Ovis aries: one gene and its partners. The protein of the gene in region 1 purifies or fractionates together with the protein of each later gene. This does not show direct contact. Links are inferred from orthologs where the notes say so. Each region holds a gene or a part of one and is shown in the gene's direction. Other genes may lie near its edges.

What was found.
Region 2: the proteins of TBC1D15 (region 1) and UBXN8 purify together in Homo sapiens (affinity purification with mass spectrometry; 3 studies listed by BioGRID and IntAct, counting the BioPlex papers as one, with this or other methods). This does not show direct contact. The link is inferred for Ovis aries from reciprocal best matches to the Homo sapiens genes TBC1D15 and UBXN8.
Region 3: the proteins of TBC1D15 (region 1) and UBAC2 purify together in Homo sapiens (affinity purification with mass spectrometry; 3 studies listed by BioGRID and IntAct, counting the BioPlex papers as one, with this or other methods). This does not show direct contact. The link is inferred for Ovis aries from reciprocal best matches to the Homo sapiens genes TBC1D15 and UBAC2.

The regions. Positions count from the first base shown.
Region 1 is NC_056056.1:107,916,112-107,920,314, forward strand, and holds the start of TBC1D15 (TBC1 domain family member 15), read left to right. Parts: upstream 1-1,362; 5' UTR 1,363-1,395; coding exon 1,396-1,425; intron 1,426-4,203. UniProt on the Homo sapiens protein: Acts as a GTPase activating protein for RAB7A. Does not act on RAB4, RAB5 or RAB6.
Region 2 is NC_056079.1:26,015,802-26,019,450, forward strand, and holds part of UBXN8 (UBX domain-containing protein 8), read left to right. Parts: intron 1-1,379; coding exon 1,380-1,502; intron 1,503-2,276; coding exon 2,277-2,414; intron 2,415-3,649. UniProt on the Homo sapiens protein: Involved in endoplasmic reticulum-associated degradation (ERAD) for misfolded lumenal proteins, possibly by tethering VCP to the endoplasmic reticulum membrane. May play a role in reproduction.
Region 3 is NC_056063.1:75,587,710-75,591,358, forward strand, and holds the end of UBAC2 (ubiquitin-associated domain-containing protein 2), read left to right. Parts: intron 1-2,069; coding exon 2,070-2,177; 3' UTR 2,178-3,276; downstream 3,277-3,649. UniProt on the Homo sapiens protein: Restricts trafficking of FAF2 from the endoplasmic reticulum to lipid droplets.

The DNA.
Region 1 (4,203 bases):
ATCTCATCCTCTGCCGTCCCCTTCTCCTCCTGCCTCCAATCCCTCCCAGCATCAGGGTCTTTTCCAATGAGTCAACTCTTTGCATGAGGTGGCCAAAGTACTGGAGTTTCAGTTTTAGCATCATTCCTTCCAAAGAACACCCAGGGCTGATCTCGTTTAGAATGGTCTGGTTGGATCTTCTTGCAGTCCAAGGAACTCTCAAGAGTCTTCTCCAACACCACACTTCAAAAGCATCAATCCTTTGGCCCTCAGCTTTCTTCACAGTCCAACTCTCACATCCATACATGACCACTGGAAAAACCATAGCCTAGACTAGATGGACCTTTGTTGGCAAAGTAATGTCTCTGCTTTTGAATATGCTATCTAGGTTGGTCATAACTTTTCTTCCAAGGAGTAAGCGTCTTTTAATTTCATGGCGGCAATCACCATCTGCAGTGATTTTGGAGTCCCCCCAAAACAAAGTCTGACTCTGTTTCCACTGTTTCCCCATCTATTTGCCATGAAGTGATGGGACCAGATGCCATGATCTTCGTTTTCTGAATGTTGAGCTTTAAGCCATTTTTTTCACTCTCCTCTCTCACTTTCAAGAGGCTTTTTAGTTCCTCTTCACTTTCTCCCCTAAAGGGGGGTGTCATCTGCATATCTGAGGTTATTGATATTTCACCCAGCAATCTTGATTCCAGCTTGTGCTTCTTCCAGCCCAGCGTTTCTCATGATGTCCTCTGCATATATATTAAATAATGAGTTTAAAAACTTGTTTCCAGTTGTGTAGGAGTTAGGAGATACTGTGCGCTAGACTCTGGAGCGACGAAGGCGTGGTATTATCGCAGTTCCTATCAAAATACCTTGTTCTTGGTCATATGTCAGTGGCAGTCACCAGACTCAACGTCAGAAACTACACGAAGGCGAAAAGTCTCTGTGTGTGCGCCTCGGATAGAGGGCTGGATTCCGTTAACTTCACTACAGCCCTATTTCAATTTTACAATGAGACTTTGAGGCTGAAGGTGGAAGTGACTTGCCTATGGCCACAAAGCCATAGGTTTGTTGGCTCCCACTATGGTGTACTTTCCGTCATACGAAGCTGAAGAGGCCTGCGAACAGCTCACAACCTCGCTCCCAGACAAACTCCAAAATATGACGACTTCAACTTCTATACTCGCCAAGGAAAATTAAACCGGTACTTGAACCAGAGACTCCACCCAAGTAGCCGCCGAGCCTCCTACTCAGCGCGCATGCGTCAGGCTGCTCCTCCCGCCCCCGCGCTTCACTCCTCCGCCTTCCCGCCTCTCCCCGCCCCTTTCCCGCCCGGATGTCAGTCTAGCTTTGCCGGATGTTGTTGTGAGTCCGGGAGACACGTGAGGCACTGCTACGTCATCACAGGCACGCGCAGGAAACATGGCGGCGGCGGGTGCTGTGAGCGGGAAGGTAGGTAACGGCCCTGGAGGGACACTGCAGTTTTTCTCCGGGTAGGGCTGCTTTTGCTGCTAGGAGGCCGGCTGGGGAGGGATGCGAGGGCCTTTCTGTATCGGGAACAGCGTGTAGAGGGTGTAGGAGAAGATGCCTAGTTGTCAGCTGTTTTCTTGAGAATGCCGGTTCAGCCCGGGAATTAAGAGACCCGGCTCCTACTCCAAGACTAGCTAGGCCGTGGCGCTGTTTGGTCCGCTCTGCCCCAGGGCGATAGGCTTTTACCTGTCTTGCCTTTTCTAAGAGACAGGTTGTTGCCCTATTGCGTTCTTTTTCTGGCTCGATTTTCTCTGAGTGTCGTTCTTTCTGTCACTTTTCGGACTCTAGGGATTTTTCTGTCTTCCTTTGAGGCGTCAGCCTGACTCGCCTCCGCTTTCCTCTGCTTCACTCTGGTAAGGCATCTTTGTCCTCTTCGGGAGGAACTGAAAACAGGTGCTTTGCAGCTGTGCACTTAGAAGAGCGCATTGGATCCATTTTACCAGATTTCGAGTTGATTGGTGATGGTGAGCAGTAGGGATGTTTCCTCTCAGGGAGCTGGAGACTTACAGCATCCCACGCTTGTCTAGGAAGGCGTTAGTTATGGTATTTATTTCGGAAGCAAAGCTGTGATGTTCCCGTGGGAGACTCTGTGGTGCTGTTTTACGGAGTTGGTCATCGACCGCCTCGTTTTTCGTTAGGAGTTAGGATTAAGTGCGGAGGATATTTCATTGCATTCTGCCTATTCGTGTTCCAAGGCAACGTCATAATGCCTGTTAGTACTACCGTGGCATACTATGGCAACATTTCCAGTTGCGGGCGTATTTCGTAAACAGTTGGGTGGGGTAATGACTCATCTCATACCAAGGCCTATTTACTTTCCGCGGAGAGCTTCGTCTGTTCCTTGATGTCACTCATTTTCTTTACGCTGCCTTCTGCATACCATTTTGAATTGCGTGACAGCGTTTGTGTTTTAGTGTATGAACTACTAGCCAGAATAACACGCTACTTTTACCCTGAATTGTGACCTTGCGAAATTGAGCGAGCATGACTTCTTTGTCCTTCAAGGTCTTTATCTCCAGAGCGGATGTGGTGCTAGTCATTATTTTTTGCATTGGAGTTAGGATTATATGAAATGATATAAGCATTAAGAAAGTACGTCCTTCTGCATACTGAATATTTTAAATGATGGGTAGGTCATCGTTTTCGAGTTTTCTCGGTCTTTGGTTGTCTTGTCTATTTCTGTCTTTAGGATGGGTGCTGATTTTCTCTTTGACTCATTACATACAGTAAGATTTTCTATCTGGACTGATCCAATCTAGGACTTTCCAAGAAGGGATCCTTTTTATTTGAACTACACTTCGCTCTTTCAGGTGTGGGTTGATTTTGATAGAACCTTTGCGATGATGAAGCGGAGTTGTGAAATAGGACTTTTTTCACCCTTTCCTTCCAGGCACTCACTACATTTCATAATTTGCGTCTTTTACTTAACGCTACTTTATCACCGCATTTATTCTCACACGTTGCAAACTTAAACCCATTCTCATCACTGAACCTAAATTTTTTTTTTTCATGCCAAAGGCTGCCCATCTTTCAAATAATTCTGTTGTAACCAGTGAAACCTGCTTATTCCTCCCTCTTCAAGTTCAGATCCAGTTAATGGCGTCATCATTTACTTGGTTGCATGTAAAACAAACTTGGAGATGTCCATTTCTGTAACAGCATTTAATCAGTAAGATGGTAGGACTAATCAGATCCTACCAGTTTCACCTTAAAGAGGTTTCTTAAATTTGCTGCACCCTCTTCATTCAGACATTTAGCCTTGAGTTCTCTGCAGGGTTTTTTTTTCTTTTCTACAGTCTCTTTGCCCAAAGTCTCCTCTCTACACAAGCACTAGAGTTATTTTCTAGTGCCCGAGGCTGATTGTCTCTTGTTTTTAAAAAAAAAAAAAAAACAAAAGTCTTCATTATGTTATTGTCACCATTAAAATAATACTCAAGGCTGGTTAACATGGCATTAAAAATCTGTGTTGACTTTCTGGCTTTATCTTATACTTTTCTACTTCTCAGTCTTGTTTCTTTGGGAAAAGGGGGATAGGAAAGAAAACACACATATATTTGTGAAAGAGTGTGTATATGTGTGTCTCTGTATTGATTTATTCCCCACCCCCACCCCAAAGGTTCAGCTAAGACCTGTCTAATTAGAAACCTAGGGCAGTGAATGTTAACCAAGACTTTTAGGAATCACGTGTGGTACTTTTAAAACTATGGATGCTGGGTCGGTCACAGCCCAATTCTATTCATTAGAACCTTGTGGTGTTTAGATCTAGGATGTAGAGTAACTTTCCTACTGAGTCTACTTGCTTGAAAGTTTGATTCTAGGAAGTCACATGGTGAGGAAGTTAATCTCTGTCATATGGAGAAGCAGTGTAAGATAACAGCTAAGAGCATGGACTCTGGAGAGCCAAGCCAGTTTCAAAAACTAACTTCACACTTACTAGTGATGTCAGTCAAATTACTTAATGTCTCTTTGTTTCAGTTTCCTTATCTGTAATATAGGGAGGATAATAGTGTGTACTTCATGGGATTTTTAGGATAGATAAGGAAATGTATTAGAACAAAGCCTGGCATGTGGTGTTTAGATCCTGTGTAGGTGTTACTCATCATCTTGATTTCCCTGCAAGTCAGTGGTTAACTATGGTAGAATTTTGAAGGTTTAGAATATGGTTTTTGGTATGAGTGTGAAATTCATTTTTGAATTTCA
Region 2 (3,649 bases), on another chromosome or scaffold:
GAGTGGGTATCTGTTCCCTTCTTCAGGGGATCTTTCCAACCCAGGGATCAAATCCAGGTCTCCCGCATTGCAGGTGGATTCTTTATCAGCTGAGCTACCAAGGGAAGCCCGTAATTCAGTGGCATTTAGAATATTCACAATGTTGTACAACCACTACCTCTGTCTAGTTCCAAAACATTTTCGTCATCCCAGAAGAAAACCCCAAACCCATTAAACAGTTATTTCCCCATTCCTCACTCCTTCCATCCTCTGGCAACCAACAATCTGCTTTCTGTTTGTATGGATCTGTCTGAATGTTTCATACAAGTGAAATCATGTAACATGTGACCTTTTGTGTCTGACTTCTTTCCCATGCCTAATGTTTTGCAGGGTTCATCCATATAGCATAAATCAGCACTTCATTCCTTCTAGGACTGAGTCATATTCCACTGTATGGATGGATCAAAATTTGTTTTTCTGTTCACTGATGGACAGTTAGGTTGTCCCCACCTTTGGGCTATTGTGGATAGTGCTGCTGTGAATATTTGTGTGCAAATATTTGAGAACTTATTTTCGATTCTTTGGGTGTATATACATAGAAATGGAATTGCTGGGTCATATGGTAATTCTATATATTAACTTCTTGAGGAACTGCCAAACTATTTTCCACACCGTTTTGTATGTCCACCAGCAATTTCTGAGGGTCTCAGTTTCTCTACATTTATTTCTGATTTTGGTAGTCATCTCTTGTTCTTAGTCAAGTTAAAGGTTTGTTAATTTTTTTTCAAAGAACCACTTTTTGGTTTCATTGGTTCTGTTGTTTTTCTATTCTATTCCCTGTTTTTATGTCTTCTTTATTATTTGCTTTCATGTGCCAGCTTTGTGTTTAACTTGTCCTTTTTCAAGATTTTTAAGATGTAAAGTTAATGATTTGATATCTTTTCTTCTTTTTTAATTAGATATTTATAGCCATAACTTTACCTCTGAGCACTGCTTTTGCTTCATCCTATCCAAGATTGGTTTTGCTAATTAGAAGTTGCATTTACCATGGATGATCATCTAACAGTTATTTTCATGATCTTGAAATATCAGGTAGCACTTGGGCATACTTATATCTCCAACCCTAGTAAGTTTTTGTTGCACTGAAAACCCATTAAAGGATGTATCAGCAGACTGCCATACAAGCAGAAGGATAGAAAATTTGTTTTTCTTTGCATTGTGTACAAATGCAAATTTTTAGAGAGTAGTGCAACAGTGGAGGATGTAGGTTTTTTGGCAAAACTGAATCAGTGTTAAAACACCACTTCTTACCTGGTTCTTATTTACAACTTTATAGACAATGTAAATAAAATCTTAGGGGTGTTAATGTATAGTCACCTGATTTTTTTTTTTTTTAACAGGTCAGCAGATACATAGAGAATGTTCTAAAACCTAGCCAGGAAATGAAGTTGAAAAAGCTGGAAGAACGCTTTTATCAGATGACGGGTGAAACCTGGAAGTTAAGCAATGGTCATAAACTTGGGGTTAGAAAATATTCTCATTTCATATTTTTTTAATCCTGCTATTGTTTATGTTCCCTTTAACATATACTAATTTTTTTAAAAATTTCAAATTATTATTCCAGTGTATTTTTAGGAGTCTTTATTAAGAATGCTTATATATCAGTTATATATATATATAGTTTTTATTGATCATATTTTTATGTCAAATGTTTAAGTGGTTTTTGGTGCCTAAAGAGCATATAACTTAGATCCTTGAAAAGTTCTAACTTAAGACAGTCTGAGAAAACTGTTGACTAAATCACATCTTTTATATGAGGGCATCCAAATCTCTTGGGTATTATAAGCTCACATTATATTCATTCTGTTTAGCTCTGTTTTTTGAAGCCAAATTGACCTTTGACTCTCTTCCTTTGGCATTGAGTATGAATTTTGTCATTTGCAAATGGAAGTTTACAATGTTAAGTTTTCTTTCAGCGAAAAAAGGATATTCATAAAGAAATTCATTTTTAGAGGAACTGGCTGCAGATTTTTTTGTGTAAGATGCTTTCTGTCCCAAAGACTTTTTTTTTGCTTTCTATTTACACTGTACCTCTCATCATCTCATAAAGAAGATGATCCAGTAGGGGTAAACAAGATTCTGACAATGAAGCAGAATGTTTGTATCCATTTCATAATGGTAAATCTGCCATGAAACCATCAAGGGTTGGTAAGAAAGTTAATGTGAAAGATGGCAACATAAAATACAACTGCTGTTGGTAGTGACTTCACTTCTGAATTGAGTTTGCTTTTGAACAGGGTGATGAAGATTTGGAGCTTGATAGTGAGAGTCAGACGTCTTTTGAAACATCAAACAGAGAAGCAGCAAAGAGACGGAACTTGCCTAAGACTGTAACCAAAGTTTTACCACCCACTGAGCAGCCCACGAAGAAGGAGGTTCATTACTTAATACCTGTTCACTGAGCTGTATCTGCGTGAAGTGGTATATTGAGGGAATCCAGATGGTGTCTTCATTAAGAATCACTTCAGCTTCATTAAGAATCACTTTTCTTGTTAAATACTAGCATTCTGAGCCAAACTTACAAGGAATCTAGGAAGGGAAATGATAGTACATTTAGTAAATAGTTCTTTTTAAGGAAGTAATTTAATTATGTAGAAACAAAAAATGCAATATTTACTAACGGAGACATTCCTTTGGGCAGCTAAGATACAAGAAGTCATATATTTTGTTGTTGAGTTGCTCAGTTGTGTCTAACTCTTTCTGACCCCATGGACTACAGCATGCCAGGTTCCTCTGTCCGCCACTATCTCCCAGAGTTTGCTCAAACTCATGTTCATTGAGTCAGTGATGCCTTCCAACCATCTTTTCTTCTGCTGCCCCCTGCTCCTTTTCCCTTCAGTCTTTCCCAGTATCAGGGTCTTTTCCAATGAATCGGCTCTTTACATCAGGTGGCTAAAGTACTGGAGCTTAGTTGAATGGCTAACGTTATTAACATGAATATATCATTGTCCTCAGTGCCCCTTTTAGGGAATGAGTTAGCAACCATTCACTCTGGAGTGATGTCCAGGTTTATTATTCCTTCTTTTCTTTCAAATCTTTAATCCTTAAGAAGACCAATTTGGAGCTGGTTAAGGTTGAAATAAGTGTATTTCTATCGAGTCTTAGGTAAAGCTGCTAAGCTGTGTATTCCCTAAAAGTAATTTCCAATGTATTGCTTCTCAGTCTGAGGTTTCCTGGTCCCTTCATGGAGCTTGAGGGTGGGAACTGGGTCTTTAAACTGTTTCTAACATTTGAAAAAGATCTAGAGAGCTACATGGACTTATTACATTTGTAAGATTCTTTGTTATGTGTTAATAGCATAGATTATCTCATGCTGATGGTAAATTCTAATTGACCATCACATATGTTTTTGATACCAAACAAAAAGAAATGATTTATTTAATAAATGCAATGAATATTTGTTAGATAAAATGTTATAAAATATGGAATCTATGGTATTAAAAAATAAAAAGCATCCCTTGAAGGTGAAATTGTTGTACAGTGTTTTAGTGAGAGAAAATGCTTTGTACATCTGGTGTTTTAATAGATTAACAGAAATAGGGAAATGTGGATAAATCATGAAAGCAACCAAAGTGGATGGTGGTTTTCCAGCCCCTTAGAAGGCACCAAT
Region 3 (3,649 bases), on another chromosome or scaffold:
AAGGTTGAACTGGAAATGGGCCACTGGGCTCCTCCCCAAGGTCGACCCTTCGGGGGCGTGTGTGGAGGGTGGGGAACCAGAATGAGGTTCCTTGGAGGGAAGCCCTTCACCATGTGCTTCTTTTTTAATCTTGGTCTTAACCCACTGATGAGGGGTCCCAGCCTCAGTTTGAAAAACACTGGCCAGAGCCCCAGCTTCTGAAAAGTGTGCCTTGTTTCCTCCCAGCTGGGTTAACCTCTTCCCAAGCCTCTTGATGAGGGTGAAAGAGGAAAGTGAGAAAGCTGGCTTAAAACAGCATTCAAAAACATGGTAGCCAGCCCCATCACTTCATGGCAAATAGAAGGGGAAAAAGTGGAAGCAGTGACATTTTCTTTTCTTGGGTCCAAAATCACTGTTGACAGTGACTGCAGCCATGAGAGATGCTTGCTCCTTGGAAGGAAAGCTATGATAAACCTAGACAGTGTATTAAAAAGCAGAGACATCACTTTGCCGACAAAGGTCCACCTAGTCAAAACTATGGTTTTTCCAGTAGTCATGTTCGGATGTGAGAGTTGGGCCATCAAGAATGCTGAGTGTTGAAGAATTGATGCTTTTGAATTATGGTGCTGGAGAAGACTTTTGAGAGTCCCTTGGACAGCAAGGAGATCCAACCAGACAATCCTAAAGGAAATCAACCCTGAATATTCATTGGAAGGATTGATGCTGAAGCTCCAATACTTTGGCCACCTGATGTGAAGAGCTGACTTCATTGGAAAAGACCCTAATGCCGGGAAAAATTGAAGGCTAAAGAAGGGGGTGGCAGAGGATGAGATGGTTGGAGGCATCACTGACTCGATGGACATGAGTTTGAGCAAACTCTAGTAGGAGAGAGTGGAGGACAGAGGAACCCGATGTGCTGCATGCAGCCCCTGGGGTCACAACTTAGTGACTGAACAGCAACAAAAGGTTCCTTTAGGGCCCAGGGACCTGGGATCTGAATGGTTCTGGCCCACTCGGCTGCGCCCCGCCCTCCCCACTCGCCCCGCCCTCCCCACTCGCCCCGCCCACACCTTCCTCCGCAGGGGAAGGAGGGGCGGCAGGGCTCTGACCCTTGTGTGCCCCCCGGGCATCGCGTTCTGTGGAAAGGAGGTTAGAAGTGGTGACTAAGTCCCCAGGCCCTCGTCAACTTACACCTTGTTGAAAATCTTAACATTTGGAAGAGTATCACTTTTCAATATATGTTATTGCAAATGTAGTTTATTTCCAAATAAGTTAAAGAAAAGACTCCTGCAGCTAGTCCAGGGTCCTAAATGTTTCTGTAATACATTTTCAAGTAGGAAAACAGGTCACAAGGAATAAACCAATAACCCTGCCGTTTCAGCCTTGGAGACCGCCTGTATGTAAAAGTACAGGAAGCCTCTGCATTCACAGCTTCAGGATTTCCGCCGTGGCTCTAGCTGCCTCCCCCGCGAGGTTGTGCCTGGACTTCATCCCTTCTGCCGGTGGGGACTCCGGGGGCGCCGCACCTGCTGGGAGAGGCTGTGGGGTGGGCACCCCAAGGCCATGCTCTGCCTGAGCCACGCCGGGAGCTCCGAGGCGTGTGTACCGTCAGAGTCCACCAGCATCAGGAATAAATCCCCAGTTAAGCAGCTGTTCACCTGCCCGGGGAAATGCGGCTGGGGTGTTATTCTTCAGGAATCCGATTGACCCTGAAGGCCTGTGCGTGGGGCTGCTGGTACGACCTGCCCCCTCCACCCCCACCCCAGGCCTGGGGCCCACAGCGCAGCCATTCTCTGCTCGTCCTGGCAGGTCACTGACCCTCAGGAGCCCCCTTTCTTGTTCTGAAAGTGAGGATTAAGTGAGAAAATGCACTTCTGTGGACCGAATATAGTGAGCACCTGAAAACGGGTCCGTTGTCGTTTCATAAACATCAGCTTTCGCACTAAATGAAAGGGTGGTTTATTTTCTCTTTAACCTGAAAAGCTCACGAGGAACATTAAAAGTCGCTCGAGGAACATCATGGGGCTGGGGGATTGGTGGCAGTGCGGTCAGCCTCCTCATCAGGCTTCCGGTTTTGTTTCTGTTTTCAGGTTGCCCGGCTCATGGAGATGGGGTTTTCCAGGGGCGACGCGTTGGAAGCCCTGAGAGCTTCCAATAACGACCTTAACGTGGCCACCCACTTCCTGCTGCAACACTGAGGGTCCCGGCCGACAACACAGGGACTGGCAGGCTGCTGGCCTCGGCGGGCGCAGCCCAAGATGGCACGCTGGCTGGCACCAAGTCCCCACTGTCCTCCTGGGCACAGGGGGTCCCTGCCACTCCCTCCCTTAATTCCAAGATCAGTTACCATTAAGTATCCAAAGTAAGTTTGCCATTAAAATAGCATGCCTTTTCTATCTTTATTTTTTTATGGAGTATTTCCCTTGCTCTGGAGAATCATCACTTATTCCTGACGTGTTTAAAATGCACTCAAATTGCAGATTTCAGGAAGCAGGGGAATAGCGCTACAGATGGGAAATTACAGCTGCTTTAATATTCTTTCTACCGTAACGTATCTTTCTACATGATATCAGATCATTTGTGCCAGAAAGGGGGCTGTTATTCAGACAGCACTTGTCAGATTTTATTTATGGACGTTTTTTCATTGCCCCCCACCCCGACCCCTGCCCCAGTCAAATTTGCTTTCAAACTCCAGTGCTGTTCAGGGTCTTCATTCCCCCAGAGCCAGCAGTTCATAGCTGCAGAGATGGCCAGGCCCGCCGACAAGGGAGGGAGAGGAAACTTAAACCCACCTCCACCTGTTCTACCCAGCTCCAGTCCAGGGGATTTGTCCCAGCTACTCCCCACTTCCATTAAAAAAAAAAAAAGAATTATCAGATACCAGCTTGCAGTTCTGGAATACTCCATGAAACTTCACTGGGGTGAATTTTGCTTAGAATATCCCCAGTTAGCCACTTGGGCTGGGAGTAAAAATGGGACAAAGAGAAAATAACAAGAAGAGAGGGCTTCCTCGAGGAGTACAGGCCGCCCTAGCTGCAGGGCCAACCCCTCTAGAAGCAGATTCCCACTGGCCCAGGGGTGACCCGATGTCAGCGTGGGGCAGAGTAGACGGACCCCACCACGGGTAGGAGGGGGAGGCCAGAACAGACGAGCCTGGAAAGACCTAAAGCAGGCGACTGTTAAAGATTTAAAGAAACTTGCAACTATTGTGTTCTGCAAAGCCAGCAGAAGTGTTTCAAACTGATGCAAATTTAGACATGCGTGGTACTTAACAATAAAGTTTTTAATGTGTTTTGCTTTTTGGTGTTTTGTTTTGTTTTGTTTTTTAAGAGTTAACCTAAATAAAACTTTGTTCTAGGCTGTGCTATTCTTTACCAGCAAAAAAAAAAAAAATTTTTTTTAACCAGACTGCTCATCTTTCTGGAGAAGATTGGGGTCCTTTATTTGAAGTGAGAGGAGCTCTTTGGTGCCTGTAAATTAGGACTGGCCCCTGTGAGACCCCATCCTGAGGCTTGCCAGGGCCATCAGGCTGCTCAGAATGCGGGCTGAGATGACTCAGAGCCTAGCTGGTCCCAAGGAGAGGCCACAACTCGATCTGAGTGTCCACGTCTCAGATTGTAGGGACAGTCAAAAGTGCAGGGATGTCCTCGACCACAGTCACTGACAGAGC